Drosophila melanogaster: one gene and its partners. The protein of the gene in region 3 purifies or fractionates together with the protein of the main gene of each other region. This does not show direct contact. Each region holds a gene or a part of one and is shown on either strand. Other genes may lie near its edges.

Region 1 (5,712 bases), on a different chromosome or scaffold from region 3:
ATGCCCTCATTGTTGTTGGTTGGCAATCGGAGCAGCTATATATAATTGACCATATGGGTCGTTTTGTGCGGCATACTTCAAGTCGCAATCGTAAATGGGCGTGGAGGTACTTACTTATGTATGTGCCTTACTCGATTCGAAATATTTGCGCTCTTTATTATGAATTTTAAATCGAATTTGTATGGAAATTAAGAACTGAATATTGCATTATGACGACGACGTCGACGATATTGTGTACGTGTTTATTTTTGTTTTTGTGCAAATTGATTAGTGGGTTAAGCCCGTTTAAGTCGAGGGTTGGTAACTTCTCATTCCGGCATTTGTTTCCTGATTTCGGATTTGGGATTTCTGTTTCCCGATTTCTGATTCCCAATCCTGTTTGTTGTTGTGCAGCGCGGCGTAAAGTGATTCGCTTGAGAAAGTGAATTCCGAACGGGCAAGTTGCGCCCATTTTTGCCCATCTCGTCGTGCAACTCATTAGCGGCATCTGTCGCCCCTTTTTGGCCAAGTGCCAGCGATTTGGGCCCATTAATTACCCATTTGTATGTGGCTGCAACTGAAATTGCAACAGGCGACACGACCGCGAATACAAATTTCATTCATAATGCACATCGAGTTCTAATTAAACGGCCCAACGCCATTTTGACTAATTGTCTTGGCAATCTCGGCGAGAACATTTGTCTCTGGCATTGCCACCATACACTATATATGTATATATTCCATCCATTATTCCTCAAAGTGAAATGCATTTCTGGTAATCAGTTTGCCGAGAGCGGCAACAAATTGACATTGGCAATTTGTTTTGGCCGCCGCCTTTGATCATCCATCCGACTTGCGTCATCTCCGATCGTATTTCCTCATGGCATAAACAAACAAAAAATCGCTCGCCTGTCCGCCGCCTCACCCATTTTGGAATGCGTCTAAAAATATTCGAAAATCGTTTCGAAACCAGAAATATTTTGGGAATAGAAAGCTTTACGGTATGGTATTCGGGAAATTTGAAACGCACCGTCGCGTCTGGAGGTGAAAAAAGCTCACACATCACACATAGATCCATAAATGTACATATATATTGTATGTATCTTGAACTACTGATCGATGGAAAGCTTCGGCTAGGATTTGCTTTCCCGGCTAGATGCCCCCCCCCAATTTTTTCCAAAATCTCTATGTTTTTAGAAAAAATTAAATCTAAAAAATCGTTTTTATTTATAAATAATTATAAATTGTTTTAATTAATATTACAATCATGAGATTATTTTACATTTCGTAGTCAATAGACCCCATCCGCTCTATCGGGGAAGTTGTTAGGTTCTGTACAAAATACATGAGGGTGTCGGTTCATTCGTAAAACAATCAAATGGCGATCAACATTTAAGGAAACCGCGAGCGATTAACAAGTGGATGGGGATCGCGGTCCGTGGCATTAGATTGACAATTCATTTTGATTGATGGTGTTGTGTTCAGTCAGTACAAAAGAGTATTCTCGAACCAAGGATGACACGTTGGTAAATAATGACATTCAAAAACAAATGGTTGGATGGTGGTGGTGTTTGTTGTTTTTGCCGGTGGAGCACCAGCCGCCCACACACCCAGAACCACCACAAATAGCAGGACCAGATGAGCAGGAGACAGGTGAGTAGACCGGGTGGTGCTAGTGTTGGTGCTAGGCAACTGCAACTGCTTAGAAGCACTTGCGGTGGACGATGCCAGGGCCGGACTCGTCGTACTCCTCCTTGGAGATCCACATCTGCTGGAAGGTGGACAGAGAGGCCAGGATGGAGCCACCGATCCAGACGGAGTATTTGCGCTCTGGGGGAGCAATGATCTTGATCTTGATGGTGGATGGGGCCAGGGAGGTGATCTCCTTCTGCATACGATCGGCAATACCGGGGTACATGGTGGTGCCACCGGACATGACGATGTTGGCGTACAGGTCCTTACGGATATCCACATCGCACTTCATGATGGAGTTGTAGACGGTCTCGTGGATGCCGCAGGATTCCATTCCCAGGAAGGAAGGCTGGAACAGGGACTCGGGGCAACGGAAACGCTCGTTGCCGATGGTGATCACCTGTCCGTCGGGAAGCTCGTACGACTTCTCCAGGGAGGTGGAGGCGGCGGCGGTGGCCATCTCCTGCTCGAAGTCCAGGGCAACATAGCACAACTTCTCCTTGATGTCACGGACAATTTCACGCTCAGCGGTGGTGGTGAAAGAGTAGCCGCGCTCGGTCAGGATCTTCATCAGGTAGTCGGTCAAATCGCGACCAGCCAGATCCAGACGGAGGATGGCATGGGGCAGAGCATAACCCTCATAGATGGGGACGGTGTGGGAGACACCATCACCGGAGTCCAGAACGATACCGGTGGTACGACCGGAGGCGTACAGGGAGAGCACGGCCTGGATGGCGACGTACATGGCGGGCGAGTTGAAGGTCTCAAACATGATCTGGGTCATCTTCTCGCGGTTAGCCTTGGGGTTCAGGGGGGCCTCAGTCAGCAGGACGGGGTGCTCCTCGGGGGCAACACGCAGCTCGTTGTAGAAGGTGTGGTGCCAGATCTTCTCCATATCATCCCAGTTGGTGATGATACCGTGCTCGATGGGGTATTTCAGGGTGAGGATACCACGCTTGGACTGGGCCTCATCACCGACGTACGAGTCCTTCTGGCCCATACCGACCATCACACCCTGGTGGCGTGGACGACCGACGATGGAGGGGAAGACGGCACGGGGAGCGTCATCACCGGCGAAACCGGCCTTGCACATGCCGGAGCCTGCAGGATAACACAATCGAACAGGGGTCCATTAGTGGGCGCTCGAGTGCTTCATGTGGGGTTTCCCACACTGGGAGTCTAACATTTGCTCTAACGGACAGCGTGAAAAAGTCTGGCGACTAAGTCGAAAAAACTGGAAAAGTTTGGGGCGGAGAGAAAAATTCTCTCATGAAAATATGTGATCTGTCTTCTTCTCTCGTATAGAGAAATATCTGAAGATATATGATTTCTGAAATATTCCTCTTCTCTAATATCATGATCTCTTGAAAAGCTTTCAAGCATCAAAACTTATGAAAGTGATTCGGGCACAAAAAATCTTTATAAAACTTATGCAAATCGGTTTTGATTCTGTGCAAAATATAATATTTTAGCTTTTCTTTATCTGAATATTTATGATTCTTTGACTTGAATTGAAAATATTGCTCAATAACTAATATTTAAAATATATATTTCTCGAAATCATCCAAGGCATTGGAATATTTTTTTTGTTATATTCAAATTTCTAATTGCTTGTGTCCCGAAGGATGCGTGAGTTAATCACAACTCGAAAATCGTTCACTTTGCGATCACTTTAGCACTAGATGCGGGAATATCCTTTCGCTGTTGGGTCCTTTGTCTATTTCTCTTTCTTTTTTTTCTCTTTTAGCAAAAGCCAAGACGATAATCCGTTCGATGGGGAATACGCACCATTGTCAACGACCAGAGCAGCAACTTCATCGTCACACATTTTGTTTTAGTTTTGTTTTTTTTACGGCACCACGGGTGAATTAAATCAAGAGTTACGGTGTGTACGGCTTGGAACACAACTGACTGACTAAAGTATCGCCGCGTTGGTACTCGGATTTTATACCGCCGCCGAAATGCCATCTCGTCCAAGAAGCGCCGTCGCCATGCCCCCCGCCGCCACCGCCCCCGCCACGCCCCCATACCAATGGCAAAAGAAATACTCAAACGAATACACACAGCGAGGAAATATGCTCATGGATGCGATAATGCTGCCCACCGGCCGATCCGCCTAAAAATAGATCCTTCAGCATAGGGGGCTCTTTGGAAAACATAAGGCGAACGAGCGAGAGGCACAATATGGTATGGCATGCTATACGTATAGGAATACCATATAGCATATAGCGCAGTATAGTTCGGCGTGATCGAGCGTGGAGATCGTATCGGTTGGGATCGGGCACGATCGGCTGCCTGCTCACGATCGTTTGCAGTCTCAAAAAGTGCCGTATAAGGCAAGGAGGCGCCTCCAGCACACTCACACTCGTTTGCTCATTCTCAGCGAGTCGCTCTCTCTCTCTCTCCTGTTCTCCCACTATATCGGCCATATCGGCTATATCTGCTATATCTGCTATATTTGCTATATGTTTCGGTTCGGTTTGGATACTTTTTGGGTCGGTTCGTTACGGTGGGGGATTGGGTGGGTGGATATATTCGCTTTGTTGCTGGCTTCTATTTTCTCGTACGGCTCGTTGTTTTCATAACTTTCGTGTTTTTCTCATGTCGTAATAAATTCATTTTCTATTTTCGATATGTACACACACACAAACGCACAGCCTTAGTCAAATCGCATCTCTATCATTTCCCAGCCTTTGCACCTTCATGCCTTTCGTTTCTAATTTTGGTCATATTTCTCATTGCGCTCTCGCCCAAGATCCACGCCCACGCCCATGTCTACGCCCCTCGTGCAATGAGCATTATATTCAACTAATTGTTTATTTACAAATCGGGCTGTAAGATGTTAGTAAGGGGGATGGGAGGGGGGAGCTTAACCGTTACATGCCGGCTTTGCAGGGTACCCATTTAAATTGGGTTCGGTGCAATCTATTTTTGGGCTGCAACTAAGTGGGGCATGTTTACGTTTTATGGCACAATCCGGTGAGGCCAATCGTTGCTGTGGATCCTCCACACTCTCCTCCTCCACACATTTTACCCAATTCTCGCTGTATTCAAATACTTGGATACAGATGTATGTATTTGTGGCGCGGTTCGGTTGCTATACTACATGGAAAAACAAATGGATGTCGCTAAATTAGATTTGGGGCCCCATGCATATTCATTCTATAAAACGTGTATTTTCGCACGTACATATATGTATCTTTGGATACATAACACCAATAAGGTTGAGTTCCAGCTTCCCGAGGAAGAATGACTAATCCCTTAACCTAAATTGCAAAAATTAATCTATCAAAAGAATCGGTCTAGTTCGAATAGGATTATTTTCGAACTAATTTTAGACGGTTCTAAATATAGATCAAATGACAACAAGCAAGGTATTCCTCCAGAGTTGCCAGAGAGACAAGTAGGGCATATTTTTATTTTATGATTGTCGCCTTACTGATTACTATAATACTTATTGCAAATTTATAATAATTGCTTTTTAATAGGTATAATAATAATAATAATAATATAATATAATAACTTTAATAATAAGTATAAAAATAATAGTTTTTAGTGATATGCCTACAACAATTGTATATTTTCTATATTTTTCAATAATATTTTTTTTCTAATTTTCTAATTATTTTTTATTCCGGAAAATACATTTAAGTATTAAATATTTATTAGGTTTAAATAAGATGAGCATAAATTATTTAAGGTATGATTCTACTTAACAGCATGTTTTCATTTTGAATCTTCAAAATGTTTAAAATCCCACGTTTTTTCAAAAAACTTCTTTAATTAAAATCTAAAGGACACGAGTGAGCTTATCATTTAAAATGTTTTTTTTTTTAATAAAAATTAGCAATCGGCATAATTTATTTCTTTTATACCTTCACATTATCCTCAGCGGCTGTGAAATAATTCCCTGTTTGTTTTTTGGACTGCCTTAAAAAATGAGGGTAAGCACGAAAAGTTTCTCATCAAAAGAGACTCGTATCAGAGGTAAAATAACCAGGGCCTTTTTTTATTTTAATCGCGTGAAACAGCTCGACTGTT
Region 2 (5,500 bases), on a different chromosome or scaffold from region 3:
AGGTATATCGTGTAATAGTGACAATGTGTGTAAATTGAATAAGGCAATTTACGGACTCAAGCAAGCGGCTAGATGCTGGTTTGAAGTATTTGAGCAAGCATTGAAAGAGTGTGAGTTTGTAAACTCTTCAGTTGATCGCTGTATATATATTTTAGACAAAGGTAACATCAATGAAAACATATATGTATTATTATATGTAGATGATGTGGTTATAGCTACAGGAGATATGACAAGAATGAATAACTTCAAAAGGTATTTAATGGAAAAGTTTAGGATGACTGACCTAAATGAAATAAAACATTTTATTGGAATTAGGATAGAGATGCAGGAAGATAAAATCTATTTAAGCCAATCTGCATATGTTAAAAAAATTTTAAGTAAATTTAACATGGAAAATTGTAATGCAGTTAGTACTCCTTTACCTAGTAAAATAAATTATGAATTACTTAATTCAGATGAAGACTGCAATACCCCATGCCGTAGCCTCATAGGATGTTTAATGTACATAATGCTTTGTACACGCCCAGATTTAACTACTGCAGTAAATATCTTGAGCAGATATAGTAGCAAAAATAACTCCGAATTATGGCAGAACTTAAAAAGAGTTCTTAGATATTTGAAGGGCACTATCGATATGAAATTGATTTTTAAAAAGAACTTGGCATTTGAAAATAAAATTATTGGTTATGTGGATTCTGATTGGGCTGGTAGTGAAATTGATAGAAAAAGTACAACAGGGTATTTATTCAAAATGTTTGATTTTAATCTCATTTGTTGGAATACAAAGAGACAGAACTCAGTAGCAGCCTCATCAACTGAAGCTGAGTATATGGCCCTATTTGAAGCCGTGAGAGAAGCTCTATGGCTTAAATTTTTATTAACTAGTATTAACATTAAACTAGAAAACCCCATTAAAATTTACGAAGACAATCAAGGCTGTATTAGCATAGCAAACAATCCCTCATGTCATAAACGAGCTAAACATATTGATATTAAATATCATTTTGCCAGAGAGCAAGTTCAGAATAATGTGATTTGTCTTGAGTATATTCCTACAGAGAATCAACTGGCTGACATATTTACAAAACCGTTGCCTGCTGCGAGATTTGTGGAGTTACGAGACAAATTGGGTTTGCTGCAAGACGACCAATCGAATGCTGAATGAAATTTTTATATATATTTTTCAAATTTAAATTCCTGTAAACATATTTTGTTACAATGATCTGATCGGGTTTTTCTGGGTTTTCCCCGTATCCTCGCAGCAAATGCTGGATCAGTTAACACTTCCCAGAATGCACACCACCCACATTTGATAGTTACTAATGAATATTATTGTTATGTTTTTAATTATAGACGTTATTTTTGAGGGGGCGTGTTGGAATATACTATTCAACCTACAAAAATAACGTTAAACAACACTACTTTATATTTGATATGAATGGCCACACCTTTTATGCCATAAAACATATTGTAAGAGAATACCACTCTTTTTATTCCTTCTTTCCTTCTTGTACGTTTTTTGCTGTGAGTAGGTCGTGGTGCTGGTGTTGCAGTTGAAATAACTTAAAATATAAATCATAAAACTCAAACATAAACTTGACTATTTATTTATTTATTAAGAAAGGAAATATAAATTATAAATTACAACAATCACTTTCGGCTCTAAGGCGGAGAAAAGGGCTTAAAGACCCTGAGCCTTAATTGTTTATTCAAAGCACGGACCAGAAAAAGACAGCACTGGAGCAGTCGAAAGAGATGGGTATATAGACAAAAGGGCGCCTTGGCGAAAAAAAAAATTATTCAAAGGCCGAACGATTGTGCAATCACAAAGTTCGTAGGCGGCATAAATCCATAAATAAACAATAAGTATGAATAAATAAGTTGCTGTTCGACAACAGCGAACAGTAATTGCATATTAAAATGGAGCTTACATGTTGGACGAAAAGTGAAGAAATTCCAGGGTCGATGTAAATGTTATGGTTCCAGTCGCAGAGAATCGCTCTCTTTTCTTCTTGTTGTTGCGATCAGCCGGCTTTTGCGAAGAAAGTTTCTTCGTTTCCACTTGTTGATTTGTGATCGGCTGTCTCGCTCGCGCACTCTTCAGTTTCCTCGTTAATTCACAGGAAGCACAGAATTAAGGCCGAAAATATATTTATAAATGAAATGCAGGCGGCACACGAAACTTCGCCATCAATTTAGACGGCCTGCACTTTTGTTTTCTCGAGTCTTTCCACTTGCGTTGCGTTTCTATGAAATTGGGCATTAAAATTTAAATGCTATTAGCCACAGAACACGAACACGAAAGATTGGGAAATGAAATGAAGGAGAGAGAGTGAGAGAGAGTTCTCTCACTCGTCGCTGTTATTGTTATCACCTGAGTCGAATACAGTGGGACCCCCACTTGAAGATGCAAACAAGACTGAGCTTTTACCAATAGTATTCAATAGTTCACTGATATCGATTAAATAATTTTAAAACTTTTGATCAACATTGCTGATTAACGCTTATTGGATTTAAGAACATTCGATTTGTTAATACTTGTGATCTGGCTTAATATGATAATTTAAGTCGAGCCCCACTGTACTCTTTCTCGCGGATTTTATCGCTCACTCTTTTTGTTTTCAGTTCACTCTCTCTCGCTCCGCATAGTTTGACTTGTTGTTGTTTCTGCCAGCGTAGCGTAGTTAACTTGAGCGGCAGCAACAACAACATCAGCCATACTTGTTGCTAAAAATAGTAGCGGCGGCGAGACAGAAACAGAAAACAGAAAAACAGCGCGGCAGAATAAAATATGAAAAGGCGCACAAATTGGAAAAAATTGTACATGACGAGCAACAAAAACAAGCAGCAAGTAACAAAAAGGAGGAGGAGTAGTTACAACAACAACTGAGCTTCTGTTGAAATATATCAGAGAAAAGAAAGGCAAAGAGGCAGATCGGCGTAGAAAGGAAATGCGACGCAAAACTGCAGTCAAAGAATTAGTTGGAATGATGGACTGAAAAGTGTCAAGTTTAGCACGGAAAATTCGTCAGCTGAAGTGCGAAAGAGACAGAGCGAACGAGCAGCTAACAAGTGATTTTCCATGAAATTAATTGCAGACTGCATTTGAATTAATAATTTTCCACTTTGAAATCACAAACTAAAAGAGAGCCGCTCTCTCTTCCACTCTCTTCGCTTAATGCACCAAAACTGCATTCACAATTCACGTTTTACTAATATTTAGTCAACTTTAACCACTGCCTTTGCTTTAATTGCTTTTTAAGGCAAATAGTTGCACATATGGAAAACGCTAGTTGTTGTTTTATTTTAGAATTCAGAATTGAGCACAAATGCTAGATCGTACGACTAGCGAAAGCAGCAACAACTAACCAAGTGGCACGCACACACAAGCACAAGTCGATGAAAAACCACCGAACTAAATGGCGATGTGGATTATTCTGATAAACGCCAATGCCATATATATATATATTTTTTTTCTTTTATTAAGAACTTGTGCCAAAATTTGCAGGAAAACCACGCGTTGCATTGATTCTTATAAAAATGCCGCTAAAGTCAATTCCAAGCACGATCGCGACAAATGACAACCGCACAGCACGAGAAATTCCAACAGACTGAAAATGAAACAAACAACTTACTCGCTACCACTACTCGAATATTATGAAATAAAGAGCACATTAGCATTTTTTCTCTTAATTTTTAAAAAATTATTTTCTCTTCTGATGCAATGTTATGAATTAGCGTTGAGATAGAAAAAAAAAATTTAAAACAATATTATGCTCAATCCTTTCTACAAATTAATTACTTTAATCAAATAACAAAATATTCATATTAATAAAAGTGTACTTTGTTTGTTAACGTAAATATACTATGTGAAAGGAGTAGATTTAGTAGAGTAGTAGAATTTATAATATTTTCCCTGCTAGTTCTCTCAGAGATGATGTATCAGTTTGATTTTAATAATCATTCCGAATGAAATCATCATTGAAGTTGGTCAAGATCGGTCTTAAATTAATCTAGTATTATAAATTGCCAATGCAGGATTAACTCTGCGCCATGATTTATTCAACTTTTCTCGTATACTTTTGGAACTAACAGCACACAACGCCTATCCGTTTACGACAAATGGTGTTTGTTTTTGGAACTAATACAGCGCCATTTTTCATTTTAGTGATTTCTAACTTACGTTGTACGTTACATTTCAGATTTATTATGCATGTAAGATGTAGAATGTCATAGCAACTGGCCGTCATGTATGTAAATATGTGTATGTATAGGCATTTCAGAGCCATTTTCTGCTCATATGTAGGGGTGGAGCCTGAGAAGAGAGAAAATCCCAAAAGGGGAATAAGAAACTGGGAAATTTTACTATTTAACTCGTTTCGTAAGAGGGTATACTAGATTTGTTAAGAAGTATATAACAGGTAGAATGAATTTTCCGATCTTTTATGGTACATAAAAAGACATTTTTTGAAACATGTTGAAAATTCAAAATTTTTTAATTAAACATAAATGTTTAAGTGGAATAAGTAACATATTGTAAAAATTATTTATTAATTTTAACCGTTATTTATGTACAATTTCGTAAGGTTAGAAAAATCCAAGGATCTTTGGTCGGGAATTTCCCTCAAGAAGGCGTTGCAAACTTAAGACCACCCACCCCCAGTATTGTGCCACCCCTCCCCAACTTCGCAACCCTCTTTTCACCCCTCTGCCGCTCTCGCAGTCGACGTCGCCGGGAAGGAAGGAAAGAGATAGCAGCTGGGAGAAAGGACAAAAGGAGAAACGGGTCGGTGGAAAAGGAGGAGGAGAAAGTAGAGGAAAAGTGAGGCGGCAGCAAAAGTTGATTAGATGGATTTCGTTTGGTTTTTGTGTTTTTAATCACACACCAATTTCATTTATTAAATCTTCGCATCAGCATTTCATTTCTCGCATTCCCTATCTTTCTCTTTCCCTCCTTCTGTCTCTTTCGCTTGTGCAGTGCCTTTTTTGTTTGGCTTTGCGACGGCATTTTTGTATTTTCTGTACCGTAGTGTTTGCTCGTTTGGCCTTCTCTTTTCTCTCGCACTCCTGTTTGTTTGTTTGTTGTTTTCCCGTTCACTCATTGTCACGAGCAATTTCACTCTCTCTCCACACCCCACCACCCCCGTCTCTGCCCATCTTTTGGCCCAGGCAAAACTTTTTGCAAAATGAAATTGTTTTCGTATTAACAATTTCATTAAAATTAAATTACTTTTATTATTCCGACAGAATCAGACAAACGAAAGGAGAAAAAAGCCAGCCTCCCCTGCCGCCCCCTCACCCCTTTCAGCCATTTTGGCCCCCCATTCTACCCCCTTATTGTAAATAAGCCAAAAGCTTGGCGTCTGTTTTCTTCAGCTGTCAAACAAATTAATTGCGCTTTTAATTAATTTCGTTGGCTTTTAGAGTGGAAAGATGTGATCTTATAATATATAATATACTAAAAGCTAAATTGTTTAACAAAATTGTTACCCTTTCTTCG
Region 3 (8,272 bases):
AACAGTGTCTGTGGTTTCTGCTGTGCTGCTCTCCTCTGCCCTGCTCTCCTCTGCTGAGGAGAGATTTTCTTATACGAATCTCTGCAAAGAGCAAGGAACGAGTCCTTCGAGAGCGAGAGAGAGAGAGAGAGCTCTCAGATGGCGAGTCACTTCTCTTGTTGCATTTCACAGGCTCAACGAGCCACAGATAATGCACGTGAGTTGCTGAAGCTGCCAGATGGTTCAGATTGCTATGCCTTTAAATATAAAATGGAACACGTCCTTAAAAATTAAATATTATATACATATATATATAAGAGAGAACCCAAAATGGTATCTAAGCAGAAGTGCAACAATATAAAATTAAGCTTAGAATTATTATTATTTTAATAGCTATCACTATCGATTTGCACATTTTTATCCGTATGAAAATAAAAATTAGGCAAGACACTTAAAATTAAGCATGCAAATTCTAATCACATGATTATTATAGATTCTATTAATACTACTACTGAGCCAACTTATATCGATATTCAAATAATATTTGTATTTTAATCTTCCACACGTTATATAGGCATATTTAATGCACCTCATGCTTTTACATAATTGCCGAAAGAGTGGCAACGTCTTGCCACAGCGTCTCTTATAATTTTAAACTCGTGGAGCTGAGCCATCTCAGATTTAACTCTCCCTGCGCATGCTCTCGCGTGGGAGAACAACTTCGAATTTCGGGCAGAAGGATAACAAAGAAAGCACTCCAACGAAACGAACACCCTACAGACTAATATAGAACACCACAAGACCAAAACTCGTTTAGTTGCCGCGTTGACAACTTTGTGGCAGGCGGCAAACAAACAAACCTCACACTAGTCCTGAATGTCCTTTATGCGGACAGCTGTGGGGGCGGGGATCCTGTTGCAATTCCATTGTGAAAGCCAAATGCATTGACCTGCTTAGACAGCTGAGAGATTTACAACTCCCCTATAACTCCTGGCCGTGCTGCAGTTCTGGGAAAGGGAGCAGCGGCATTAAATGGCAAATAAATCTAAAGTTAAACTTTTGACACTGTCTCGGCGAGCAGCCACGAAGGCACTTCCTTCCGACTCCCTCGACTTCCGGTTGGAATCTGTCGCCCTGTCAGCGGCAACAGAAGAAGTGACACTGGCACGCAGACAAGTGCACTGAGAGAAATTGCTTCGGTCATAGCTCAGTGAAATACTAATTATTTCTGCTGAGAAATATTGACAATTTAAAACAAAAGTCATAAAATATGAGCATACATTTTTTATGATTAACTAAATACTAATGCATTCGTTAAATATATATATACCGCCGAAAACAAATTAAGACATTTCCTATTCTGTCAATTACAATTTCATATTCAGTTATATTGTTTTAAACTAAACTGGCGATATATAAACTTTCTGGCTGAAAAATCTTTCTGAAATTGTACACCAGCAATTTCTCCATGTGTACTACTGTGCGATGTATAAGGATTGGATTTATGAGCGCCCAGCACCTCTACCGAAATCTTATAAAACCCGGGAATAAATAATAATAATTCTTGCGCTTTTCGCTGTTGTTCGCATTTCCCGCATTTCTCTGCCATTCTTTTCCATTCTTATGACAATGTCAACATTTCTTTTGCTCCCCTAATGGCCTGAAGAAAGCACACGCACACACACACACACATATAGACCACTCGCACACTATGAAACCGAATGTGGCACACACCCCACGCACTTATTTATATGTATTTTCGATCGTCTGTTGTTTTTCCAAGTCGGTTATGCATAGCCATAAATTCTGGTAAAAGCCTTCTGTAGGTCGAGGGCCACGGCGGTCCGAAAATAAAGGAATTGCTCCTGATGCTGGCACTTACGCACACAGCCAAGCAGCAGGATGGGAGAGAGAGGACCTCGCACACACGGACTCACGCACTCACACGCAATTGGTGTTCTCGCCGTTTTTGTTTGTCACTTAACAGATTTTTCTGTCCTTGCTGGGTATTGATTTCTAATTTTTCCTTCGTCGGCTTTGCGCCCCAAAGAGGTTTTTATAATGTGTGCGTGTGTGTGTGTGTGTGTGTCGCATTGATTTCGCAATTTATGGGCGATTTGATGGATTGCTTGAATAACTTTATATGCTTATTTTTGAGTTTTTATTGTTTTACAACTTGCGGTATTTTATGTAGAGATCCTGTGGACGACCTAATGGAAATCATTTGGTTTTGGCTGAAATGCGGCCATAAAGGTGTGAATCAAAATAATGTTGCCTATACTTCGGGTATATCATTTCATATGGAAAGCGCTTAATAATAATTATATAAATATATAATTTCTAGTTAATGTGACTTTATTAACCCATTAGTGCGTTTTAATCATTTAATTTGGCATCAGAATCGATCACAGTCACGAACACAAAAGCGTAATGGTAAAAATAAAGGCTCATTTGTTTAAGTTGTAAATTAAATAAAGCAAGTGTCACTTTCCATTTAAATGTTGCCTAATAATTAATGACAAAAGGCTGCAGGGCTCACGATGTCCGCGGTTAGCTAATTGATCCAAACGCATCCGCGTAATTAAACTTTCAGCCACAAGCCCATAAAATAAATCAAAAAGCGAAGGACCGAAAGGGGCAACATTTAGGGGGGGGGGGCTTGTTTCGCATGGCTGAGTTCAGGACGATTAAACGTTAAATCAATATTGTTAAATCCCCGCTCGCATCCCCGCAATCCACACAGGCAAGTGTTCACGTATTAATTGATGTTCGTGAGTGTCCTGCATTTAAATAATCCATGATTTGGGACATCTGTGTCTGAGTTCCCATTCATATATGTATGCATATGTGTATATGAGTGGTGGAAACTAGCTGCAGATATAGCTACAGACACAGATACATTTACATTCCGGCACATAGTTTTAAGTGTGATTCAGTTATTCACAATAGTCGCCGCTTTTTGTTCTTGCCACGTTTTAATATTGTCACAACTAGTTTCGAATAACTAAATTGGATGTTTTCGATTAGCATTCAATACACTGCTCAGCAATTTCGTTTGCGTTGCAATTTGAGTACTAGATTTTGAATTAGACAATTGTTTTATTAATTGCCTACATGTATATTACCTAACTGATTTCGAAGGCCACTTGTACGACCTTGAGATAGAGTATTAATTATTTAAATTCTACTGTATTATAATTGCAAAGAATTGTAAGTATTCATAATATATAATGGCAACCCAATTTAAGACTTCTTTTGAAGGCCCCCGCCTACCGAAATTCAGTGCCTATGAGAACTGAGAACGAAAAAAATTGAGCAAGGACCAAATATCCATCAGGCTGAACACACACATTTTCATGCAAATAGGCAATGTGTTATTTTTTTGGGTCAGCGATTCACGGAGGGATCCCCACCAAATGGGTTGGCTGAGGAATGGCCTATCCCCATATCTCAGCGGCACTTGGGGCAGGCCAACAAATACAAGCAGGCATAATAAAATAATCGATGCTTTTAAAATTTGCATAAGTTTGGATACCGCAGATGCCGCGCAAGGATGAGCCCATCTCCAGTCCCAGTGCCATTCCGCCAGTGCGCATACGCCGCGTGGAGGGCACAGGACTGGGCCATGGCCCATGGCCCAAAAGCGGAGTCCTAGACCCGGAGACGACAGCAGTGGTGGACAAGTTCGTGGGCGTTCGATTTAATTGTGGGAATTCTGCGTCTGCCACGCACCCATCACATCGATGGACGTGGCTGAAGAGCTGAATTTTTAAGCGCTCCAAGGCGGCCCGATACCCATATTGTATATTTTCATTACCATGTGTGGGTCGGAGTGAAAGTCGCGGGCTAGGATTTAATGTGGCCTTGTTGCAGCCGTGGGAACTCGTCCTCAAAGTACACGTCCTTATGTACAGCGGAGCAAGTACCTAGCCGACAGAAGGAGCAGGCACTTGTCGACAGAGCTTTTTAACCTTCCGGATTTCACATTTCATTACCGTCGACATCGCGGTGCTGGCAGGTCAACTGTGTCCTGGTTCCGGAAAGCCTCATATCTCGTATCTTAAAGTATCCCGGTTAAGCCTTAAAGAGTGAAATGATTGCCTAGATGATTGCTGCATTACTGGCACTCAATTAACCCAAGTGTACCAGACAACAATTACATTTGTATTTTTAAAGTTCAATAGCAAGGTAATAGCACTGGGTCTTTCAATATTACAATATTACCAATTAGAGAACCATATATCGTACACAATTGTTCCACATTCCGAATTTAATAACTCACGATCGATAGCCAAATTAATATTAATTTGAGAGGACATGAGTCCACCTGAATATTCAATATGCATTATACATTATCCCGCTATGAATAAAACATTCCAAATCGATTCATTTCGGGCAGGAAAATTCCTTTTCTACTCGGCAAGCAAACCAAGGACTAATCACAAATACGGAATATTGAACAGATTACGTTCATAATAGCTGATTGTGTTGGCGAAACCTATTAATTTTGTCGTGCAATTTCCGCCGCTCAACAGGATGACAACCTCGATGCAGCCGAGCAAGTACACGGGCCTGGTCGCCGACCTGATGCCCAACATCCGGGCGATGAAGTACTCCGGCCTGTTCATGCACAACTTCACGGGCGGCAGTGCCTTCATGAAGAAGGTGTACTCCTCCGTGCACCTGGTGTTCCTCCTCATGCAGTTCACCTTCATCCTGGTCAACATGGCCCTGAACGCCGAGGAGGTCAACGAGCTGTCGGGCAACACGATCACGACCCTCTTCTTCACCCACTGCATCACGAAGTTTATCTACCTGGCTGTTAACCAGAAGAATTTCTACAGGTGAGCCTCTGCTCACCGCACCGAGCTTACGAACACTTGGGGAATTTAAAATTTTATGTTTTTCCGGCAGAACATTGAATATATGGAACCAGGTGAACACGCATCCCTTGTTCGCCGAGTCGGATGCTCGTTACCATTCGATCGCACTGGCGAAGATGAGGAAGCTGTTCTTTCTGGTGATGCTGACCACAGTCGCCTCGGCCACCGCCTGGACCACGATCACCTTCTTTGGCGACAGCGTAAAAATGGTGGTGGACCATGAGACGAACTCCAGCATCCCGGTGGAGATACCCCGGCTGCCGATTAAGTCCTTCTACCCGTGGAACGCCAGCCACGGCATGTTCTACATGATCAGCTTTGCCTTTCAGATCTACTACGTGCTCTTCTCGATGATCCACTCCAATCTATGCGACGTGATGTTCTGCTCTTGGCTGATATTCGCCTGCGAGCAGCTGCAGCACTTGAAGGGCATCATGAAGCCGCTGATGGAGCTGTCCGCCTCGCTGGACACCTACAGGCCCAACTCGGCGGCCCTCTTCAGGTCCCTGTCGGCCAACTCCAAGTCGGAGCTAATTCATAATGAAGGTGATTTGTTGAGTCTGAACCTAAACTTTTAGGCGGTTATTCAGTGAGCACTTCACTGAATAGGAAAATGCCATGACGAGCTGTTTTTCCATTGCAGAAAAGGATCCCGGCACCGACATGGACATGTCGGGCATCTACAGCTCGAAAGCGGATTGGGGCGCTCAGTTTCGAGCACCCTCGACACTGCAGTCCTTTGGCGGGAACGGGGGCGGAGGCAACGGGTTGGTGAACGGCGCTAATCCCAACGGGCTGACCAAAAAGCAGGAGATGATGGTGCGCAGTGCCATCAAGTACTGGGTCGAGCGGCACAAGCACGTGGTGCGGTGAGTTCAAATCCTGGCCAAATTGGACCAGCCATTTCAAGGGGGCTTTGGCCAGTGATGATTGGATTTTTGGCGATTTAAATGGCAGAGCAGTCCACTCATATTTCATGGACTTGGATTTTTGCCTTTAACAGAGCACCGAACATAATAAACACACACACTTTCCCCTCAGTTTTGTAAAACTTCAATAGGCGCCATCGGAACATGTGTTCTCATTTATTAGGAGCTCAACAGATCCCTGCAGCTTGTTTGACTTACTTGATTACTTCCTCAATTGCAATCATTGTTGGGGGCCCTAGAGGAATGTCCTTGTTTGTCCTGTCCGACAGTTGGCGTGTGCAGTTGTTGATACCAATATTGACTTGATTCCTGCCTGCAATCCCTCATCCTTTCCCCCGTTGCCTTTTCCCCACAGACTGGTGGCTGCCATCGGCGATACTTACGGAGCCGCCCTCCTCCTCCACATGCTGACCTCGACCATCAAGCTGACCCTGCTGGCATACCAGGCCACCAAAATCAACGGAGTGAATGTCTACGCCTTCACAGTCGTCGGATACCTAGGATACGCGCTGGCCCAGGTGTTCCACTTTTGCATCTTTGGCAATCGTCTGATTGAAGAGGTGAGTTTGTGCAGGGTTGCAAGATAAATTTATAAGTAAATCAGACATCAGTCTCAACTGATTAATAATCGAGAACATCCTTATTTGAGTTATAGGGATATTTATAAAAAATTTTGAGACTTCATTAAAACTAAATGAATTGTAAGTTGAGAGTCAACAGATTGGTCCGTTCACTACAAGCTAACCAGTGTGTTTTTTCCATGTGGTAGAAATAAAAGGGTGTTTTTGCGTATGAGATAAAATTGAACCAATGTTTTCAAGTTTATAGATTGGGAAACATACATAGTTCTAAACGTTGTTATAGTTATAGTTTGTGTAGTTAGTTATCTAGAGCATCCTTAATACGACTTTCATTTCGCAGAGTTCATCCGTCATGGAGGCCGCCTACTCGTGCCACTGGTACGATGGCTCCGAGGAGGCCAAGACCTTCGTCCAGATCGTGTGCCAGCAGTGCCAGAAGGCGATGAGCATATCGGGAGCGAAATTCTTCACCGTCTCCCTGGATTTGTTTGCTTCGGTTTGTTGCATTTGATTTATTGATCTATTGATGGAGTTAAAACTGAATCGGATATTCCCGATTCGCAGGTTCTGGGTGCCGTCGTCACCTACTTTATGGTGCTGGTGCAGCTCAAGTAAGTTGCTGCGAAGCTGATGGATTTTTGTACCAGAAAAGCGAATGCCAAGAAGCCACCTACCGCCCCTTGCCCCCTCCGCACTGTGCAACCAGCAATATCACAGAGCAATTATAACGCAAATTATATATTTTATACCTGCGACGAGCGAGCCTCGTGGGGCATAATGGAGACATTCTGGGGCACATAGAAGCCTGCAAATACTTATCGATTTTGTACACGCGTAGAGCTTTTAATGTAAACCCAAGATGCAAACTAAATAAATGTGTAGTGAAACTCGAAGGTTTAATGGGGGGTTAATAGAATAGAAACAGGCGGAGTTTATTTCATTTTAAATTTCGAATTCATTCGAATTTATTTGCATCTTAAGTATTAATATATATATATATTCTGCATATACAATATAAAATCTAGAATATTGTCAACTATAATATATTTTGGTTTAGCAAACTCAAATAGAGAACTGTTTCTCAATTACTTTAATGTGTGTTATGAACTTTTTTTTCTGAGCTCCATTGTTAAATTGCTAGTTTAGATTCAAGTTGGGTCAGGAGCGGCTTGTAGTCCATCAATTAGTTTTAATTCAATAATTATCGGTGCTGTTCACATGATAAGCGTGGAATTTAATGGGCTAGACGCCGTGTTTATCGCATCACTGGCTTGCATGCCGCAATTTTCACGGCAAACGTATGTGCAAAACGAACTAAATTTAGGAATAAATGCGGATTATAATCATAATCTTTGGGCCGTAGTCGTTTTGGCCACATTTTTGGCAACTGTTGGCGCAACAGCAGAAGCAGTATGAGTACGATTAGAAACGGCCAGCCATCGTCAGCAGTTGCAGTGGCAACAATTAAAAGTGGCAAAAGTGTAATTCGGAATCATACTGTCGAGCGTGGTTGTGGATCTCCACACGCTTAGCTCCACTTACATAGCTCTCCTATATTTTTGCCGTTTTGAAAGCGCACTTTATGGTTTTCAAAATTGCCCAACTGGGCCGTCTGACTCCGCGGCGGGTTAAAACTGAAGCAACAACAAGAAAACGCTCCACGGCGCGAACTTTTAATGCGGCCACGCTCCGTACATTTGGCGGAGTTTTTATTTCTTGCAGCTTTCATAAAACAAAAACGAACCAACGAACGAAAAGTGACTACAACTAAAATTGCGCCAAGAGTGTGCGCCAGATGGGGCAAGACGAGGTGGGGCGAAGTATCTGTATCTGCTGGATACCCCTCTCCATGCAACCGCTGCTTACTGTTAATTTCTTTATTGCGCACACTTTCGTCTGC
Region 4 (5,226 bases), on a different chromosome or scaffold from region 3:
CAGTTTCACCGTGCTGGGCCAGCAACCCATGGACATGTTGCTGGGTCTGGACATGCTGAAGCGACATCAGGTAATGAAATCTAGATAGCATCAGATTACGTCGCCTAAATGCTAATTGAATTGGTTTTTCCAGTGCCTGATTGACTTGCAGCGTAATTTGTTGATTATTGGCACCACGGGAACAACGACACCCTTTCTGCCGGAAAGTGAGCTGCCGGTCAGCGCCCGGCTGACAGGAAACTCGGAGGATTCGATGGAACAGGAGGCGATTTCCAATGCAATCGAGCAAAGCAAACGGGAGAGCGGTGGCGCCGGTGGCGGGCCCAACACGATCAGTCCTCAAGAACGATTCACCGAACAGGATGTCACCGATCTCATGGCCCTTGGCTATCCTCGCAGCGATGTGCTTACCGTGCTGCGCCTGTGCGGCGGTAACAAGCAGGCGGCCAGGTCCGTGCTGCTCCACCGCAACGATGCCGCCTCGGGGAGCGAACTCAGCTGAACGCGGCTAGACGCACAGCCCACACCACCACCTAAAGCCGAACTCCCCATAGCCAGAAACCGGATTGCAATAGGATGATGAACAGACTGGACCCCATTAACTGGAAGCCGTTCCAACGAAATACTCCGAGCAATACCAAATAATAAGCCACGCCACGCCACATATAAAGTCAAATAGGAAATAGTAAGGACTATACACAACCACAAAGCAATGAATACCGAAACGAAAACCTTTCTAATTTAGTGAAATGTTTATAAACTGATGTCACTTTTTTTATACGAATCGTTTGTTACGATGTACAATATCTAATTAGGGTGCTACGCAGCACTACCGGGTCATTTTTAAAGCAGAGGTGGGTTGGTTTTTTCTAGAGAGAATAGTAAGCGATATAATCTAAAATTTAATGAATGAAAATCTGGACGGTGATGGAAACAAGCCGCATCAACGAAAACATGAAACAAGTAAATACAAAAGAAAAACGAAAGAATGCCTGACTATTAAATAATATTACACTTATACACAATTTGAATTAGTATTAAGGGTCTGTCAAGAAAAACTGAATTGGGTTCAATAATAAATGGTCGATAGTATTGTTTTGGATTTGAAAAGAAAAAGATGAGCAAGCGCATTTTGATTTGTCTTCTTGGGCATCTCGCTGTTTTCACTTTTATAAATCTTTAATAGCATTCGTTATATGTTATGTATATAAATTATAAAATTACAACTTCTGATTTTTGCAAAACTCCTTTAATTGTTTGTTACAGTTGCTATAGTTGTGTCTGATGCTGTGGCTACGCTAATCCTCTTCCTCCTCCTCATCCTCCTCGTTCGCACGACCCGCCCCCGATCCCTTGTGGTTGAACTCCTTCTCTGGATCGAACTGCATGCCCTCCTGGTCGGCGCCATCCTCCTCGTCATCGTCGCCAGCCACCTGGGCGTTCTCGGCCTCAGCGCGCTCCAGGCGTCTGGCCAGATCCGCCTCGTCGATGGCCGTAACCAGTTTGGGTGCCATGATCACCTTGAACTCTCCATCGTACTCGCTGGTCTTGGCGCGAATGTGCTCAATGGCCACCTCCAGAGCCTTTAAACCGTCTGTCTTCTTGGTAGTGGATGTGGTCATTACATAGCTAAAAGGATACGGATGAAGAGCGATTACGTTTAGGAACCAATTAACTCATTTAAGCAACATTTTTAGTTATTTCGATTTCACAAGAAGTTGTAAAATTAAATTGAATATAAGTTTTTCTCTTAACCAAGTGGTCATTTACAATATATACAAGATGAAAGGGATTTCCTTATTATTTAACGATAAATTTCGGCTAAAATGAAGAACAGAAATCTACAATTTTCGTATTCTTTTAATTAAAGAAACCCTCGTTAATTTCGTCTACACCAAGGGAAATTACAATAGTTTACAGGTACTTACAGTGGCGGTGCTATCAGGTTGATGCGAATGGGCAGCTCCTCGGTGCTCAGCTCCAGGCCCTTGGTGAGCGATGCCTTGACAGCGTCGATGCCCTCGTAACCGTAGCAGGAGCACTCGATGTCCGCACGGATCTTGACAGTGGGCGAGACCAGCTTCCGCTTGATGTTGCTCAACAGGACCTCCTTGGTCTCCGGTTCCAGGTTGCACTCATCGAAGACGGTGGGATCGGTGACCGATTGCTTGAAGATGTCGTAGGCGACCGTCTTGTTGTTGTACTTCTTCTCGAAGTGCCAGGCGGTCTTCTGGTAGAGATCTTCCAGCTTCTCGTTGCCCTCGAAGCCGAGTATGTCGGCGACATGGCGGAGCAGTGAGTTGATGGCCTTGGCCTTAGCGAAGCGCTCGGTGCACTTCTCGACATCTTCGGGCGAAACGCGACGCTTCGACAGATCGATGTAGCCCTTCTCCTTGTCAACACGGATAACCACCACCGGTTCGGTCTTGCCGACACGAATCAGCTTGTTGATGGAGCGGATGCGCCGGCGGGACAGCTCCGACAGCAGGATCATGCCCTCGATGTTGTTGTACTCAAGCAGATGAACGTAGGCGCCCATCTCGGCGATGGACAGCACGTTCACCATAACGACATCCTCGATCTCCGGATACCGCTCGTTGTAGAAGCGCGACGTCAGGGCCATGTTAAAGTCTGTGGTCTATGGCCAAAAAATGGGCAATTTGGACTTTTCGAAATGAAAAACGTGTACAATTTCTGCCGAGCGGGCGCAAGAAGAAGAAGCGTAAGGTATGACAGTGGTGTTATCGATATTTAATTGCGTAGCCGGCAAAACGTTGCCAATTGGATTGCTTCTGGTCACACTGGAAAGGTGGGGCAGCAGCGGTCTATCGATTGTTTGTCACATGGATTGCCGGTCAATTTCAAATTTTACTGTTTTGGTTTTAATTTTGATCAGAACATTCGAAATAATAGTCCAAATGTGGAATGCCATCCCTTGGCGAGCTTGTTATTTAAATACCAATCAATTTCAAATTGGAAATGTTAATTTTTGTTAAATTTATTGCAATATTACAAAAATTGCGAAAATTGACCCAAAAGTTAAATTCTCAAAAAGTTATATAGATTGCTAATACTGATAAATAGGAATAAAAAGCAGTTGTTCTTTTATCTATATGTCACTTTTTATCCATGTTATGATGATAATTCCCATATGTCAAATTTTCATTTTTCATATTTATCTGTTTAAATTTGCAGAACATTTTAAAAGGTTGCATATTATCGCATACAAAAAGGCCATTAAATATGTAATGACATGTAGCTTGAATCGGTTTTTTTAGAAGCTACACTTTTAATTTAAAGAACATTAGAATATTTGTATAGGTTGGCTCCGTTTATTAGTTAATTATGACAGCGCGCGAGTACAATATATATTTATCTAACAGTTATCTATGATGGTCCCGATCTATTCTTTTTGGGAAAGGTAAATACGCGCCTCGTCGACCTATAATTAAATAGATAAGATTAAATTAAAGCGGGCCTCTAAGTGGTCAAAATCAGAATAGCCAAATACTTACGGTTTTGAACCAAACGGAGGGTCTAAAGATCATCTTAGATAGGAAGGTCATTTGGGTGCGTGGGCTAATGGCATGCATGTGAAGATGCTTCACCGTGATAAACGGCGGCAGATGGAATCCGAAGAGGGCATCATCGACAGAAACTCCCTTGGACACCAGAAGATCCTTCAGGGCGTTCTCCATGAGCTGCACTGTAAGGAATCCAAGGATATCAGAATTATTAGGGCATGGCCCGAGGTCACGCCAATTCCAATCTTACCCAAAGAATCGTGCGATTTGTTAAGATCCTTGAGGCTAGCGTAGTGCTTTTTTGTCACTGCTAAGTAATGGTGCTGGGAAGCGGGTTTAATGTCCTGGAAGATGACAAAGTCATCGTTTTCGACTTCCAAAACAGTGGAGGGGATCCGCCCATCGGAAATTAGGCAGAAAATGCAGTTGTCGTCCGCCATGACTTAATTTTAAGTTCAGTCTATATAAAATATAGCAGTTTGTACTTTCACAGCTGATTAGTTGTACTGTCGATAACGATAAGAACTATCCTGGTGCTCCAAAAAAAAATACCGCTAAATAGATTTTCAGTATTAAAAAAAACCATTTGTGTCCAGTTACTTTTAGTATTATTTTTTTCAACAAAAAAATTTATACAAACATATGTATTCCTCTCTATGTATTCAATGTCATTTTTGAATGTTTCATTAGAAAAGGAACAATTGTAGAATGCTAAACAACTATAAATATTAATCGATATCTGAAAATTGGACGCAATTGGGCATGCGTCCCTGCTAACGACCAAAATACTAAGAAAGGCGGCTATCAGCTAATTGGTGTGGTGACACTGCCCGACCAAATTCGCCGCGATAGTATTTTTCGCCCGTGTGTTCACACTGCGGTTTGCAGCGAATTCGCTCATTTGAAAAAAATAAAACATGGCTGGAAGAGGTGGTTATGAACACGCTAGGTAAATATTATTAATTATTTTTGCAATAGCGTACGCTCCGCGTTGGCCGCGAACCGCCGGTGCTTGTGAAAGTGGACGCGATGCGATCGAATTGCGCGAGTGCCGACAATCTGGGCAAAATGTGTAATAATGCACGCGGTTTTTTGGGGTTTGGGCAAAAAAAAAGGCAACACCAGCCCACCAACACACGCGCACGCTCTCGCCTCGCCGCTCGCACACCCATACAGTAATGTGCATGTGTATTGTACGTGTCGGTCGTTGGTCGCCGACACCGCCGCCGCCGCCGCCTTTGTACGTGCGTGCGTGTGCGTATGTGTGTGGTGTGTGTGTGTGTGTGGTGTGTGTGAGGGGCAGTGTGCGTTTTTTTTTCTTAACATTCTTTTTCGGTTTTTATTTTGTCGATTCTTTTCATCGCTTGCGTTGTTTTTCTTGGAAAACTCTGCTGCAGCTGTCGTCGGCGCCAACGTCGACTACGCCGCTGACAGCACACCGGCAGATTTCACATTAAAATCCCCCCACCCCTCATCAAAAAAAGAAAAAAGAAGAAGAAAATATGAACCCAAAAATAGTTGCAAATTCCATGCATAATGCAATTTTCGCCAAAAAGCGCGCGCGATTTAACCCCCACCCCCCTCACCATTTGACACCTGTCCCACTGCATTTGTTGTTCTTCGGTTTTTTTTTTATTTGTGCCTGCATCTCTGTTGACTGTTTGCCGGGAATCCGAGCCAGCGTTAGCCGGCCACATAGATA

The links.
Region 1: the proteins of Orco (region 3) and Act57B purify together in Drosophila melanogaster (affinity purification with mass spectrometry, with the first as the bait; one large-scale study listed by BioGRID). This does not show direct contact.
Region 2: the proteins of Orco (region 3) and for purify together in Drosophila melanogaster (affinity purification with mass spectrometry, with the first as the bait; one large-scale study listed by BioGRID). This does not show direct contact.
Region 4: the proteins of Orco (region 3) and eIF2alpha purify together in Drosophila melanogaster (affinity purification with mass spectrometry, with the first as the bait; one large-scale study listed by BioGRID). This does not show direct contact.

The regions. Positions count from the first base shown.
Region 1 is NT_033778.4:20,941,904-20,947,615, reverse strand, and holds Act57B (actin 57B), read right to left. Parts: upstream 3,596-5,712; 5' UTR 3,500-3,595; coding exon 3,460-3,499; intron 2,773-3,459; coding exon 1,682-2,772; 3' UTR 1,185-1,681; downstream 1-1,184. UniProt on the Drosophila melanogaster protein: Actins are highly conserved proteins that are involved in various types of cell motility and are ubiquitously expressed in all eukaryotic cells.
Region 2 is NT_033779.5:3,653,339-3,658,838, forward strand, and holds the start of for (foraging), read right to left. Parts: upstream 3,616-5,500; 5' UTR 3,384-3,615; exon of another isoform or gene 3,370-3,383; intron 2,248-3,369; 5' UTR 1,932-2,247; intron 1-1,931.
Region 3 is NT_033777.3:5,406,167-5,414,438, reverse strand, and holds Orco (odorant receptor co-receptor), read left to right. Parts: upstream 1-2,032; 5' UTR 2,033-2,044; intron 2,045-3,969; exon of another isoform or gene 3,970-4,167; intron 4,168-4,514; 5' UTR 4,515-4,515; coding exon 4,516-4,823; intron 4,824-4,893; coding exon 4,894-5,408; intron 5,409-5,505; coding exon 5,506-5,731; intron 5,732-6,146; coding exon 6,147-6,351; intron 6,352-6,712; coding exon 6,713-6,868; intron 6,869-6,936; coding exon 6,937-6,987; 3' UTR 6,988-7,256; downstream 7,257-8,272. UniProt on the Drosophila melanogaster protein: Odorant coreceptor which complexes with conventional odorant receptors (ORs) to form odorant-sensing units, providing sensitive and prolonged odorant signaling and calcium permeability.
Region 4 is NC_004354.4:16,444,257-16,449,482, forward strand, and holds eIF2alpha (eukaryotic translation initiation factor 2 subunit alpha), read right to left. Parts: upstream 2,738-5,226; 5' UTR 2,624-2,737; coding exon 1,929-2,623; intron 1,630-1,928; coding exon 1,299-1,629; 3' UTR 920-1,298; downstream 1-919. Other genes in the region: rngo (rings lost), read left to right, coding at 1-70, 134-502; CG34015 (uncharacterized protein), read right to left, coding at 3,404-3,442, 3,516-3,706, 3,775-3,964; eIF4H1 (eukaryotic translation initiation factor 4H1), read left to right, coding at 4,442-4,473. UniProt on the Drosophila melanogaster protein: eIF-2 functions in the early steps of protein synthesis by forming a ternary complex with GTP and initiator tRNA. This pre-initiation complex mediates ribosomal recognition of a start codon during the scanning process of the leader region.